Linked DNA regions of Arabidopsis thaliana. The protein of the gene in region 2 interacts with the protein of the main gene of each other region in a pairwise test. Each region holds a gene or a part of one and is shown on either strand. Other genes may lie near its edges.

What was found. Proteins that work in one complex are often made in the same cells at the same time.
Region 1: the proteins of AT5G22355 (region 2) and AT1G19680 interact in a two-hybrid assay, tested with the Arabidopsis thaliana proteins (one large-scale study listed by BioGRID).
Region 3: the proteins of AT5G22355 (region 2) and DGK3 interact in a two-hybrid assay, tested with the Arabidopsis thaliana proteins (one large-scale study listed by BioGRID).

The regions. Positions count from the first base shown.
Region 1 is NC_003070.9:6,803,623-6,808,398, forward strand, and holds AT1G19680 (RING/U-box superfamily protein), read left to right. Parts: upstream 1-1,807; 5' UTR 1,808-2,021; intron 2,022-2,183; 5' UTR 2,184-2,286; coding exon 2,287-2,617; intron 2,618-2,883; coding exon 2,884-2,915; intron 2,916-2,996; coding exon 2,997-3,947; intron 3,948-4,039; coding exon 4,040-4,060; 3' UTR 4,061-4,240; downstream 4,241-4,776. Other genes in the region: CLH1 (chlorophyllase 1), read right to left, coding at 174-878, 1,032-1,301; AT1G19690 (NAD(P)-binding Rossmann-fold superfamily protein), read right to left, coding at 4,303-4,570, 4,656-4,776.
Region 2 is NC_003076.8:7,399,948-7,404,488, forward strand, and holds AT5G22355 (Cysteine/Histidine-rich C1 domain family protein), read left to right. Parts: upstream 1-1,759; 5' UTR 1,760-1,814; coding exon 1,815-3,809; 3' UTR 3,810-4,025; downstream 4,026-4,541. Other genes in the region: ELM1 (fission ELM1-like protein (DUF1022)), read right to left, coding at 614-799; VAMP714 (vesicle-associated membrane protein 714), read right to left, coding at 4,432-4,522.
Region 3 is NC_003071.7:8,116,993-8,122,483, forward strand, and holds DGK3 (diacylglycerol kinase 3), read left to right. Parts: upstream 1-1,743; 5' UTR 1,744-1,983; coding exon 1,984-2,343; intron 2,344-2,663; coding exon 2,664-2,786; intron 2,787-2,877; coding exon 2,878-3,015; intron 3,016-3,098; coding exon 3,099-3,184; intron 3,185-3,274; coding exon 3,275-3,362; intron 3,363-3,468; coding exon 3,469-3,544; intron 3,545-3,631; coding exon 3,632-3,714; intron 3,715-3,834; coding exon 3,835-3,905; intron 3,906-4,010; coding exon 4,011-4,088; intron 4,089-4,175; coding exon 4,176-4,263; intron 4,264-4,343; coding exon 4,344-4,460; intron 4,461-4,538; coding exon 4,539-4,697; 3' UTR 4,698-4,955; downstream 4,956-5,491. Other genes in the region: AT2G18721 (uncharacterized protein), read left to right, coding at 7-114.

The DNA.
Region 1 (4,776 bases), on a different chromosome or scaffold from region 2:
TATAAGAAGAAGCTGTAAAGTTTTGGGGTAAAACTATAACAAATGTTTTGATCGAGTTTAATAAAAATACACATGCAACTTAGGACATGAACAATAGCTAGCTTGGAGCTAGAAAACATTGATAGGTTTTTCAAATATTCAAGACCCCTCTGATAATAGTACATAACACAAATCTAGACGAAGATACCAGAAGCTTCTTCCAACTCAGGTGAAGGATCAAGCTTGGCCGGAGAAACGGAAGGATCCTTCACAATCAATCGAATCTCCGCTTTTTCACCCCACAAACTATACTTGAGAAACGCAACCACAATTCCACCTACAAAGCTCCTCATCTCAGACTTTTTTCTTTGCCCATTCTTACACATACAACCGGCCATAAACCCAACAAAACCGGGCAAATCATCGTCCAACATATCCATATGTCCGTAATCCGCAGCCACGAAATGGGCTTTCGTCGCCTTACACTCTTTGTAAAACTCCTCATGGTTTAAGTCCGTTGGTGCGCATGGTGGCATCACGTTGTTCCACTTCGGTCCGAGTCCGGTTCCCACCACTGCAACCGGTATGTCCAGCTCGAAAGATTCCGGTTTATACGTTAAGATATGCGGATCGGTTCTAATGTATTTGTTAGTTCCTGCGACTGGATCAATTCCTATTAGAGCTGAAAACGTGATGGATGGGTCTAATGTTGCGGCATGGCCTAGCGCAACCGCAAACGCCGTTTTCCCACCGCGGCTGTGGCCCACGAGTGAGGTGTATTTTCCATTAGCATTTACCGAAGTTGGTAGGTGAGCTTTGAGGTTTTCCGATGCCCAGTTTATCACACTTCCAGCATCGTCCACTTCCACTTGCCCTCCCGGCGGCAATAATTTGCACAACTGTCATTCAAGAATATAAAATTAACTTATATCTTTTCACGTAACAATCAATCTCAATTAATGTACATTTTGTTTTACATGTTACATGTTACATACCGTAAGTTATCCTTTTAAATGATTCATAATTATTTTTTGTATAGTTAAATTATGTACCTGTGGGGCTACAAGAATGTAACCATGCGAAGCGATGTGGTTAAGAACGTCAGAGTAGAAGTAGTTGCGAAGATAAAAGCCATGGAAGAATAAAACGACGGGATAAGTTCCGGCGACTGTTGGACAGGTGATTCTCACCGGTTTTGGCGGTGCTGTTGAATCATTTTCCACCGGATCCACCGGTATCTCGGTTGTCGGGAGGCTGCCTATCTCAAAAGCCGCCGGAGTTACCACAGAGGAAAACGTTGGACTGTCCTCTATCGCCGCCATTTGTATTAAACTAGATAATTAAAGAGTTGTGTTGAAGATTTATGTATGAATCCTTCGAACTTTAGCTAGTTGTTTTGTATTTATAGGGGGAGAATGTTGATTTTTCTTATCCGATTCATTATAATTCTGTGGTTCTCTCGGCTTCTCATCGTAGTTATAACAAAATGAATTAAATACTTTCGAAAACGATAAATGCATGGGCTGCGTAAACAAAAGAGCATGTGTTGATTCAAATTATTACAAGTTAGTTGGTATACAATTACTCCATGCATTTATCATTTTCGGAGTACAATTTAATTCGTTTCCCGAAAACGATGTGTCCATAAACACATACCAAGACTTACTAAGTACTACTAAAAAATATAATCAAATTGCATTAGGAAACATATTGTTATGTTTGTTAAAAAAAACATTTTGTTATGTTTGTTCAGTAAAAAAAAAAAAAAAATTGTTATGTAAAAAAAAAAGAAACAAATTGACCAAAAAAGTAAAATTTGACCAAAAACAAATAGTAGCACAAGAAAAACAGAGAACAGAAAAAGAAGAGAGGAAGGGTGACGTGGCACAATTTCCCTGCGACGCACCCAACCTCCGTCTCTCTCTCTCTCAGATCGGCGGCCATCTCCGTCGAGTAATTGAAATCTCTCTCAGCCGTTGGATTCGAATTCCGCCGCATCTTCATATACCTCGTTTCAATCCTGCGGAACCCTAGTTGCTCTGGTGAGTCCCTGGTGAACCCCCGGATTTTAGAATCATCTATTGTATTTACTTTAATTCCGTTCCATTGATGATTTCTGCGTTAGATTTTGAGGTCTCTGCCTTCACCTCTATGTATTATAATGGCTCTGATTCGAAGTTCACATTCTGTTTGTTTATATGCAGAATTGTGGTTTGCTACTGTGATAAGTTCTTCAGTGGTAGATTAGGAAGCACCACCAATGGAGATTGTGTAAGACATATTCATTACAGCTCTCTTTTAAGGATTATGGGGTCTGTTTGCTGTGTGGCTGCAAAGGACAGAAATGTTCCCAGTGGAGCTATTGATAATTCAGTGTGTTCACCATCGTGGAGTTTTCGACGGGACAACAGGAGGCGTGTAGCTGATGAGATTAAAGATTCATCTAATCATAATGTTGGGAGTAGAGGTATTGACATCGATAAGTTGTCGTTAGGCTTAGAGAGAGGACCTCCGTCATCTGAAACTGGGGGTTTAGCTACTCTTGGCTCTCAGAAATCCGCAGACTCAGAGATGGGCACAGCTTCGATGGTTACAGCTCCTTTAGCGGGTACAAGTTTGGCGATTCGATCTCCTTCAGGTATGTTCGTTCAAACACTTTTTTTGTGGGGAAAGTGTAGAACTTTCAGTTTCATTGTTTGGGAATATACTGTTGAGTCGATTTTAGTTCCTTCGTGGATGTTCTTTTCCAGTCTACTCAATCCAGTCAAAGGGGTAACAACATTTATTTGGTAGGATTAGATCGAGAGACATTTCATTTTTTGGTAGAGATCATTTCAGCTTTATTTTCTTACTGTAATGAAGGATTTTTTTCCTGTCTCTCATGCATCTATTTTCTCTGGGCAGATGTATCCTTGGCAAGTCCTGTTCGTGTTGAGGTGAGATCATTACTTACTCCAATCAGAGTCTCTTTTCGTCCCTTCAGAGTCTCTTAACCCTCTCGTCTTTTAATTCTTCAGGTGAAGAATATAGTTGACTCATCAGATATTGTTTCATCAGTTTTACCAAATCCGTCAAGTTCCACCTCGGTCTCTGATCTTCCTTCAGCTCACACACATTCACTTCCTCCCAGATCAACTCCGTCTAGACGTGCTCGAGGTTCACCTGGGCAGCAGTTGTTTAGGCAGGTTTCTGATAGTCAAACTTTGGGATTGAAATCTCCCAATAATTACTCAACATCTGAAGGAAGGTCGTCCTTTGTGCTTTCGACCTGTAGTAATGACACTGCCACTGGGTCCCATTTTGCTTCTTCTGAAGGTGGCTGGTCCATAAACGCCTTTTGTGAGCTCGTGGCTCAGTCTCAAAGGGAGAGATGGTCTTTTGATAATGAGCACTTAGGTTCCGGACGACGAAGACTAAGTGGGTGTAGTAGTAGCAGATTCTCATGCTCCCCTTCTGTTGATCAGCAGACTTGTGGGCGTTGCTCAAAGCTTTTAACTGAAAGGTCTCCAGTTGCCAGGTTTGACCTTCCAATTCCTGCTGTTCTAGCGTGCGGCCATGTTTACCATGCGGCATGCTTAGAGACAATGACAAATGAAACAGAGAAGTATGATCCTACGTGTCCCATATGCACAGAGACACAGGTTACTAAATTATCGAGGAAAGCTCTAAAAGCCGAGGCAGAATTGAAGGCAACGAGTTACAAAAGGTGTAAGAACCGTGTGGTAGATAGTTATGTCCGCAGTGAATGTGAGGATCTTATGTTCCAGAATCTAGGGAAACGAGAAGGAAAAGGTCTGAAGATGGATCCTAGTTCGAATACCAAAGGCTCCACGTCTAAGTCTTTTATGAAATGGCACTTCGGTTCCGTCAGCACCAAGTGGAGTAAAGCCAGGGATTCTACCTCGAAGAAGAGCTTTTGGTCCAGACATAGTAATAAAAGATTAAGTCATTCTTTTTCAAGCGTTGAGGTAAAATATCCATACGAGACTCAATATGTTCACTTTCCATCTAAACAAAGTTAAGTTTCTCAACTGCTAACACTTCTTTTTCCGCATTTCAGGGCCTTAATCAGGCAACATGACATAAAATAGGACTGGCTTTGGATTAGAGAAAAGCTCCCTTAAACATTTTGTATCCCTTTTTACTTTTATTCCATGTTTAAATGTCACATGGGGAAAATATGTGTACCAATGAAACAAACTTGTCATTTTGTAGAATGCAGAAGAAACAAAAAAGGATAAACTAAAAATCTATCTTTACTAAAGAGTCCCTAATTCTCCACAGGAAAGATTCAGATCAGCGGAATTTAGTCCTGTGGTGTGCTCAAAAACGGTTGTCCATGTTCTCGACTATGCTTTGCAGTCCTGACTTATACGAAGGATATAACAATTTCACTCCTAGTTTATCCTTCATGCGTTCGTTGCAGACTCGTTTCTCGCCTCTCAATGAACTTTCCTCCCGAGATTCATACAGAAATGGAAATGGTTTTGTGGTGATATTCCCCGGCCAACGTTTCTCGATCAACTCCAAGGCATATTCAAACACCTCTTCTCTTGCTGCCGGATCATCATCAACAATATTGTAGATCTCCCTGCCAAAATGGTTGATTCATCCGTCTCAATGGTTCAATCATCCATCACAAAAGAATGATCATAGATGAAGAGGGATACACAAACCCTGATGCTGGCTTTTCAGTGGCAGCTTTAAGAACTTGGCATATATCTTCAACATGAACTCTCGACGTGAATTTACGGGACGCTCTTCTCTTTTGACCTTCAGACAAACGCTCCTGCTTTA
Region 2 (4,541 bases):
GTCGAGTCTATGAATGATCAAGAAGCTAGAGAAACCAGACACAGCAAAACAGCCTTATATGCATCCAAACTGATCTAAAAGAAGCATTAAAGACTCCACTACCAGTGTTCCTTGTAAACGAAATTCAGTAATTGCACCAGCATCATGCTCCACCAATGATTCAATTCTCTTTAAGATTTACCAAAAAAAATTATAAATAAAACTGACAATATAGGTAGTTATGACACCCCAAGAACCTTCCACTGTTTACCCTAAATTTGCAGAACTTGAGATATTGGCAAATTTACATATTTACCAATTCATTGTTTCCATAAAAATTCAAATAGTTCCTCCTTCTCTGAACATTCATACACTCTAAAGAAGTACTAAACAATATGAAATTTCCACTCCTACTTAGACTGAGACCTAACAAGCTAAAAACCTAGAACACACGACGAAACAACAAAGTAAAAGAAACTCCTATCCAAAAGCAATCATCAATCTCTCAACTACATCATGCGCCTAGCAAAAACTGACGAGAATTTCGAGTATAGTATCAATGGTTTATAGTCGACGAAATGAAAGCACTAAGCAGATGCTAAAAACGTCTAGAGCCTAGATCAAAGAAACTCACGTAGAGAAGGTGATTATCAGATAAGCCGAGCGCACGAACGAGACCGATACACTGATTCTCGGAGCCAGGGAAACCGTTTCCGATGACGACGGCGCGTCTGACGACGTTATGGGAACCGCCTTGTTCGAAAATATCAGGGACGCCGGTAGATAGACTGGGTGGATCCGGCAATAGGATTGGCCTCATGCCGGTTAGATTATCGATTCCGATTCCGATCAAAAACCCTAGAGGAACCACACCGAGATTTGGGGGGATTGATCTCAACTCCGTAGAGAGAAGGTCGTGGTGCTTTGACAAGTTGCGAAAGGTCACAGAAAGAGAGATTGTTTTCCTTTTCTCCTTCAAGAGATTGTCTTTACGCTAAAATTTGGTATAACAATTAACAAAGGACAAATTTAAGGTCTTAAACGAATTTTTTGCTAATCAATAAAACTAATTTTGTCAATACAAAACATACAATTGTTTAAAAAAAAAGAAATTGTATGGTATTTTAAAAATTTTGATTTTAGAATTTGAAGTTTTGGAATTTTGTTTTGTTATATGATGATTAAAATTAAAATTTCACCGATAGTCATCCAAAATTAGAATAAAACACTATTTGTCACATAATTGCTGTTTTTCTAATTGTCTATTCAAATCTTATGAACCTCTTCGTAGGCCCAATATGTAGAATTTGATTGTTAAAAGGTGAAGCCTTATCTGGAAAAAGCCCAACTGTTATTGTTCTTCCTGTGCCTCGTTTTGTCTCGGTCTAACTTTTTTACACACGACTTTACCAATCATAGTATTCAAAGAAATCTAGCGATCTCAAGACTCCGAGTGTCACGATAGAGAATATGAAATTGCAGAAATGATTCAATATAATTATATATCTTAGCTGTTGTTAACACGTTAGATGTTGAGTTTAGGAAATTAATTTATTGGGTATTTTCATACTATTATATTCATAGGTAGCTATAACGATGATAAGATAATTTAATGTGTGCAGGTTGTAAACAGTTAGGAATATGAAATAATTCAACTATATATTATAATCATCTCGTGGAAAACAGGATCGATTGCACATGATTCATTGGAGACAAGAATCGTTAAGGTGTTCACACATTACGTGTCTTTGTTATATTGGGGTTACAAAGATGCATTCATATGATGTAGTATTATCTTGAGATCTCCAGAAAACAAACCGCATTTGAATCACAAAATGGATCTACCACCCAAAATACTACCAACTCACAAATATCCTTTGACCATTTCGACTCGTTTTGTTAATGATTCTTGTAAAGGTTGCAATATAAAAGGTCCCATCTATGGCGGCTACCGTTGCAACGAGCCTTCCTCTACTAGTTTGTTCTTCCACAAAGAGTGCGCAGAGGCTCCACCGGAGATTATCAACCATCCTTCTCATCCTCAACACACTCTTAAACTCCACAATTCTCTAAGGAACCCATGTAAATGTAATCTATGTGGCAAGACTTTTTTCGCTTTTGGTTATCGTTGTTCATCAAAATGTGACTTCATCGTGGATCTCACTTGTGGGATAAATCCATTGCCGGTTTCTATCGAACATCCAAAGTCTCATCATCATCCAGTTATCTTCTTGAAAGAACCCGCAAAGCCGGGTAGGCGCAGATGCGGAATTTGCAAGGGCTATAATGGTGGATGTTCTTATGCATGTCTTGAATGTGAAGTCCACTTTCATGTCGAGTGTGTCAATCTTTCCCAAGAGGTGAATCATCCTTCTCATCCTCAACATTCTCTCAAGTTACTTGAATATGAATCACTAACAAGTGATGCTGAAGAGACATGTCTTTTATGTGGAGAACGACCAGACAAAGTGCTTTATCGCTGCTCGATATGCAACTTCAGCGTATGTCGATTCTGTACAAAAGATCCACCACCACTTGCTATCGAGCATCATAAGACGCACGAGCATCGACTTGTCCTCTTATCAAGACTCATCTCATTTGAATGTAATGCTTGTGGGATGCAAGGTGATCGAAGTCCTTACATGTGTGTTCAATGCGGGTTTGTTGTCCATAGAACTTGTATTGACTTACCACGTGTCATAAACATCAACCGTCACGATCATCGCATCTCTTTCACCCATCATCTCGGTGTTGGGTACTCGAGATGCGGTATTTGTCGCAAAGATATAAGTCAATACCATGGGGCTTATTTATGCCCTCGTTGCCCGAACTATGCAGCTCATTCACTATGTGCAACAAGAAAAGACGTATGGGATGGGGTAGAACTCGAAGGGACACCAGATGATGATGACGAAGATATTGTGCCGTTCAAAGTGGTGGGTGATAACTTGATCAAGCATTTCAGTCATGAAGAACATAATCTAAGACTCAACAAGGACAATATCAATCGTGACGAAGGCTCACGTTGTGAAGCATGCGTCCTTCCTATCTATTCCGATCCGATCTACAACTGTGAGGAATGTCGTTTCATTCTCCATGAGAAATGCGCTAATCATCCAAAAAAGAAACGACATGTATTCCACACAAAACCATTCACACTATGGTCCAGACCACCTCGTACATTCCATAGCAAAGATTTTAGATTCTACGATGTCTTTCGCTGCTATGCTTGTAGAACGAAGTCTACTGGTTTCAGGTACGTTTCTGATTGGTGGGTTCTAGATGTACGTTGTGGTTCGCGTTCTGAACCGGTCATTCATGATGGTCACAGACATCCTCTATATTACGAACATAAGAAAGATCACTGTTGTGATGCATGTTATAAAGAGATAGATGGTTATCTGCTTTCCTGTGACACTTGTGACTTTGATCTGGATTTACACTGTACTGATTTACCAAAAACGGTAAAGCACAGCTGCGACAATCATCCTCTTTCCCTATGCTATGGCGAAAATGCAACCGGAAAATATTGGTGTGATATTTGCGAGGCGGAAACAGATCCAAGTAAGTGGTTCTACACTTGCTCTAAATGTGTGGTTACTGCACATATTGAATGTGTGCTTGGAGACTTTTCACGTCTCATGCCAGGACGCATCATCAACTACAATAATGTTAGAGTTGAAGTGGTTCTTAACAGCTATAGTTCTCGCCCCTTCTGTGCAAAATGTCACTCCAGATGCAGAGCTCCTATCATTCTAAAGCTTTGTGATCCATATACTGGATACATTTGTTCCGATGCATGTGTAGTGCCCGACTATCAATACAGCTAAGACAACTATGTAGCTGTTTATTTCACTCTATTGTTTCTCGTAATTTTTTGGATGTAAGAGTTTATTTCCAACTACAAGTGCTAAGCATTCTGGTTATATTCATACTGTGTTCATCAGTACAGGCAGGATTAAACTGTATCGATGACATATATAAAGTCGTAACAAGTTATGACAAACTTGCTAAAAAGGTAGTAGCAACTAATATGATTTAGTTAATGAAAACATAGACAGAAATGATGGAAACAGATATTTGTGAATCAGAAATGTTATTAAACAAAGATGAAAACTGAAGTAATTTTAACAACAAAAATAACGAATATGTGATGTACATTGCAAATGCAAAAATTATAAAGACACAGCGGATAAAGTTTTGGAAATACAGAGAACAAACTCACTCACGTGACTAAATCTAAAAGACAAGGCAAGAGTTCAATGAACCTCTGTATCATTTTGATTTTGACATTTACAAGAGTTACATAAGCAAGGAGGACCATGACATGTAACTTCAAACTCACAGTCATTTTCATGACAAAACCAAGGCTTCAAATCGAAATGATGCGACTGAGTTGATTTACAAAAACAGTGGTCCGTTTCAGTATACCTTAGATAAGGCCGCCAGATTTTAAGATCTGCATGATGGTAAAGTGATTCCTCCGCAGAAAGATGCGATTATTATGTACAGCAAGAAAACTATCAAGCATGTCAACAAGACCCTGCCGAACACAAACAAGA
Region 3 (5,491 bases), on a different chromosome or scaffold from region 2:
AGGTAGATGAAGAAGTTTGCTCGCAGAGATTTCAGAGGAGAAAGCGTGCCGTTGAAGGTTTGTGTTTTTGGTTTTGATAAAGTCAGGTGGCGTGTAAGGTATATTTATAGGTAGGGTTTTATCTTAACGTTTACTGTTTGTCTTTTTCGCCAACTTCATTTTTCCATGTGTCAATAAAACATGTCTTACAATTTTTATTTTATAATTGTCGGTTTCTTACCCGAAATGTTTTTTTATAGGAAAATTTGTGTTAGGTAATTTTGCAATTTCATTTACAAAATATAGCACGCTCCTTTTGAGATGGGCTAAAATCGTTCCAAAGTTTGGGCTTACACGCCTAACCATTGGCCCACTCCAGTTTACTTCTATCTTTCACCAAACTAAGAAACATTGATCCTTGAACAAAAAGTAGTATATGTTTATATGATGACAAAAAAAAAAGAGTAGGAAATCTATGATTCTATAGGAGTGTAAATGAATAAGCTGTGATAAATTTAGGTTATTTTTCTTAACGATATATATTGTTAGATCAAATTTTATAGTTACATCATTTGGAGTATAATGTAAATATGTTCCGCTTTATAATAATGTAAATATGATTTGTAATACTAATGAGAACACACGCTCATTGTCTTCCAGTTCAAGAAATATCTTAAACCCCACTTTTTATCAGCCACCTGAATTTGAGTCTTCCTCTGCCACATAATAAATTGTTTACATGGACCAATTCTTGGTTACAAAACATCTGATATCATATCGTGCAATTAAGAAGGTATTAAATGATGTTTTTTTCTGTGGCATTTGTATATACTTTCAAGTTTCGACCAATTCTATAAGTTAAGAAAAAGGCATTGAGGGAAATTTAGGTTAGAAAAAGTACACAACGATCCCAGCAATGGGAAGTAGCTATCACTTTCAGTGACCCTATTTCTCTGAGTGGGCAATAACATTGTAGGCCCCATTCTGTGGAAAATCCACTAACTTCAATGTCTGCTCTCATTTTCTATTGTCTCCTTCGCTGTTTTTTTACAATTTACGTTACCACCAAAACTATTCCTTTGTTTAATGACGAAAACGCCACTCTTTCTAAGCAAAATGTCAGAGAATTTTGTTTCTTTGTTGGAGAGTTGAAAATATTTTTTACATAGAAAAAGAAACCAATAATGCAGTCAAATAATAATAGGAAGCAAATAATAATGCAAGTATCTCTAATTCTCTATATCAAATTGTATTCAATCATATTCACCAGATGTAACCTCTATAATGGAACCTTTTTGAATATTAAAATATCATTAGATCCTATTCTTACAATGTATCAATCAATTACTAATTAATTTTCTCTGGTTTTCTTGATATAACAATAACGTTAAAAAATCTCATTGTTAATCTCTTTATGCCATCATTAGTATTGTAAGATTTTGTACACTTTAAATTGTAAATTTGATCTTACAGAAACAAAAGATCTACAAATCTTAGTTACAGAAGATAATGGTATTAAACTATACAAATCTTAGTAGTTTAATATTATTAATAATCAAAATTATTCTAAATTAGAACTTTTACAAAATAAACATTTATCAGTCGCTTTCATAAATGTCAAACAATAAAAAAAGAAAAAGAATCAAAGATCTAAAGAGTGGCATTTTTATGACGTCACATTGAAATCCAACCGTGTAAATTCTTTTTTTTTCAATATAAGCAAATTAATTCACACGTTTTGTGCGCTGTCTTCGAAACTAAATCATTTATAAAAAAGACAAAACAGACAAGAAAATACAAACTGTCAAAAGAAGATTTTATATTGGTTGATTTGAAATCTCTCAGCAAAGAAGAAGAAGAAAGATTAAAAAAAAACAATCCTTTATTATTTTTCATTTCAACTCCAATTTTGATTATCTGGGTTTCGAATATTCCTCATTTTCTCCAATCACAGGACGAAAAGTAATCATCTTTTTGTCTTTTCTTCTCCGGCGAGAGACTACAATGGACTCTCCGGTATCAAAAACCGATGCATCGAAAGAGAAATTCGTGGCTTCACGACCATCAACGGCTGATTCAAAGACGATGAGAGGTTGTGGACTCGCGAATCTGGCATGGGTTGGTGTAGATAAAGTAGAGCTTCGTCAGAGGTTGATGATGCCTGAGTATCTTCGTCTCGCTATGCGTGACTGTATCAAACGCAAAGATTCCTCGGCTATTCCTGATCATTTACTTCTTCCTGGTGGTGCTGTTGCTGATATGGCTCCTCATGCTCCTATGGTTGTTTTCATTAACCCCAATTCTGGTGGTCGTCATGGTCCTGTTCTTAAAGAGAGGCTTCAACAGTTGATGAGCGAGGAACAGGTTTTGCTCTCACTGAACTTGTATTTCAAATCTTTTTCTTTGGGTTTTTGGGGGAATTTCGAATCTAATTTGTATCTACTTTGTGTTTTGATTATGTTAGTTTGGAAACTTTCTTAAAGTCTCTGGCTTTTAAGTTTTTAATGCTTGATTTATATGTTTATGCTTAGCTGATGTTAGATCTAGTGTTTTGTTGGAACTTTGAAGGATGAGTTACGTTTAAAGATTGAGTCTTTTGGAAAGCTGAGTGATGTTGATGTTGTCAAGTTATTGGTTTGAGCTTTTGATATTGAAACTTCATGGTGACTTTTGTGTTGATACAGGTGTTTGACCTCACGGAAGTGAAGCCGCATGAGTTTGTTCGATACGGGTTGGGGTGTTTGGAGAAAGTGGCAGCGGAAGGAGATGAATGTGCAAAAGAATGCAGAGCAAGGTTGAGGATTATGGTGAGTGTATTGACCATATTTTTCTCCAATCTCTATAGATCCACTTGAATGTTTTTAGCAATCAGAATTGTGAATGGAATTGGTTGGATAGGTTGCAGGAGGTGATGGTACTGTTGGTTGGGTTCTTGGATGTCTTGGAGAGCTTAATAAAGATGGAAAGTCGCAAATTCCTCCTGTTGGAGTTATTCCTCTCGGTACAGGGAATGATCTTTCAAGGAGTTTTGGTTGGGTGAGTTGTGTTTTCTTTGTTCTCTCTTATGTTGTCGTGACAAAACTTTTGAATTGGTACTGACTATGGTATCTCTTCTTCAGGGTGGTTCGTTTCCTTTTGCGTGGAGATCTGCTGTTAAAAGAACACTCCATCGCGCAAGTATGGGTCCAGTTGCTAGACTTGACAGGTAAAAGTCTTATTTTGCTCAAAACATTTAGCTTTTATTGTATTTCTCTTGTTGTAAAAATGTATGCGCTTTGGTTATGTGGTGTTGCAGCTGGAAGATTTTAGTGTCAATGCCATCTGGAGAAGTCGTAGATCCTCCTTATTCTTTAAAACCCGCTGAAGAAAACGAACTTGATCAGGTTTTGCTCTATTTCATTAGGCTTGCTTCTTCTCATTGAATCATCAGCATGTGATTTTGTAAATTGCCACGGTTTAGTAATTAACCAGGCTTTATGGTGGTTTCAGGGTTTGGACGCGGGAATTGATGCGCCTCCACTTGCAAAGGCTTATGAAGGTGTTTTCTACAATTACTTAAGCATAGGTTTGTTGAACTTCTCTTTTTGATATCCTAAACAATTTTCACAATTGTTTTTCTGACCAGATTCTTGTGTTTGTCTGGTTTGTTTAGGTATGGATGCTCAAGTTGCATATGGCTTCCACCATCTTCGCAACACTAAACCATATCTTGCTCAAGGCCCTATTTCAAATAAGGTTTGTTTATTATATTTGCACCTAAACTTTGGACTCATTATTTGTCTTTGTTAAAAGCTAAAGTAGTTATGTTGGTTTTGAGAAACGACATTACCAACCACACAATGTTTGCTTTTGCAGATTATATATTCAAGTTTTGGTTGCAGTCAGGGTTGGTTTTGCACGCCTTGTGTCAACGATCCAGGTTTAAGGTTCGCCATTTCGACTCTTATTGTGTAGTTGAACTTGTGTGTAAGTCTCTGCTTAAGCCCTTTGTTGTGTTGTTGACCCCTTGTTTGTGCTATATGAATTTGCAGGGGACTTAGGAACATAATGAAAATTCACATCAAAAAGGTTAACTGCTCTCAGTGGGAAGAGATCGCAGTCCCGAAAAAGTAAAAAACAGTTTTCGATATATGATTTATGTATTACAATCTTTGATATCAATGCTTAAAACCTGATGCTATGGATTTCTCTTGTAGTGTGAGATCAATTGTCGCATTGAATCTTCACAGCTATGGAAGTGGAAGCCATCCTTGGGGCAATCTAAAACCGGACTATCTAGAGAAGGTATTGTTTCTGTTCCATTTCATCATATATGAACTCAGTTCTCTGATGTTAACCCGAATGTTTTCTTTGGTTTTTCTCAGAGAGGCTTTGTGGAAGCACATTGTGATGATGGTTTGATAGAGATTTTCGGTTTTAAGCAAGGATGGCACGCGTCATTTGTCATGGCTGAGCTCATCTCTGCCAAGCACATAGCTCAGGTAACTTCAAAAGACACTGGTCAATGTATAATCTTTTTAGCCATGTGTTTGACTGTTTCATTTTGGTGATCATTTCAGGCTGCTGCGGTAAGATTTGAGCTAAGAGGAGGTGACTGGAGAGACGCATTCTTGCAAATGGATGGTGAGCCATGGAAGCAACCAATGAGCACTGAGTACTCAACATTTGTGGAGATCAAGAAGGTTCCTTATCAATCTCTGATGATAAATAATGAATGATTGAGATTCAAAGCTGGATTCTTTGTACAAAGCTAATTGTTTTGTATTTGGATTTGATTCAGTTAGTCATAGATATAGCCTAAGCTTTTTAGTCTTCTTTTCTTTTAAATCTGAGATTGTGACCATTTTTCTCTTTTTAATTTCTGCTTATTGTTGGTTTTGTACATTTTTGTGTTGTGAGGAATGAAGTTTGTTTATTTATAAGAATGTGGGAAGATAATATTTGGTCAAATTTCAATCTCTCTTCAATCTTTGTAATTCTAGCATTGAGCACATAGATGTGATTCTTTGTCATATTTTTATTTATTTTAACACTAGTTCGACTGAGAACCAATTTATCATCGACACCAATTTCTAAGTAAGAATATTTTTAATAATTATCATTATTAGTCGTATATTTTTACCAGAATAATAAAAAATTAAAAACCTAAGTTAATAAACCACACAAAAAAGTTTTTCTCTCTTCGCTCTCTCGTAGTTTGTAAAGATAGAAACTGAAATTTCTTTTGTTTTTGTTAACCGGATAGTTTTCCGGTGAGTCGCCGTCCCGTTTAATTCGGGCTTTCGTCCGACATCTTCTAGCTACGTTAGTGGAGATGGTTGGCTTTTTGTATGGCATCGTTGGCTAACTTAGCGACGTTGGCCAGCTTCCGTACGGCAGCGTTGGGCTTACACTAACAGCGTTGGTCATCTTTGTTTTTGTTTTGTTACTTCAAAGGTTTGATGATGAAGCTTTATGGCATGCAGAATCGTCAGATCTGAAGAGGGTTTCTCTTTACAAGATCTATTCTCCT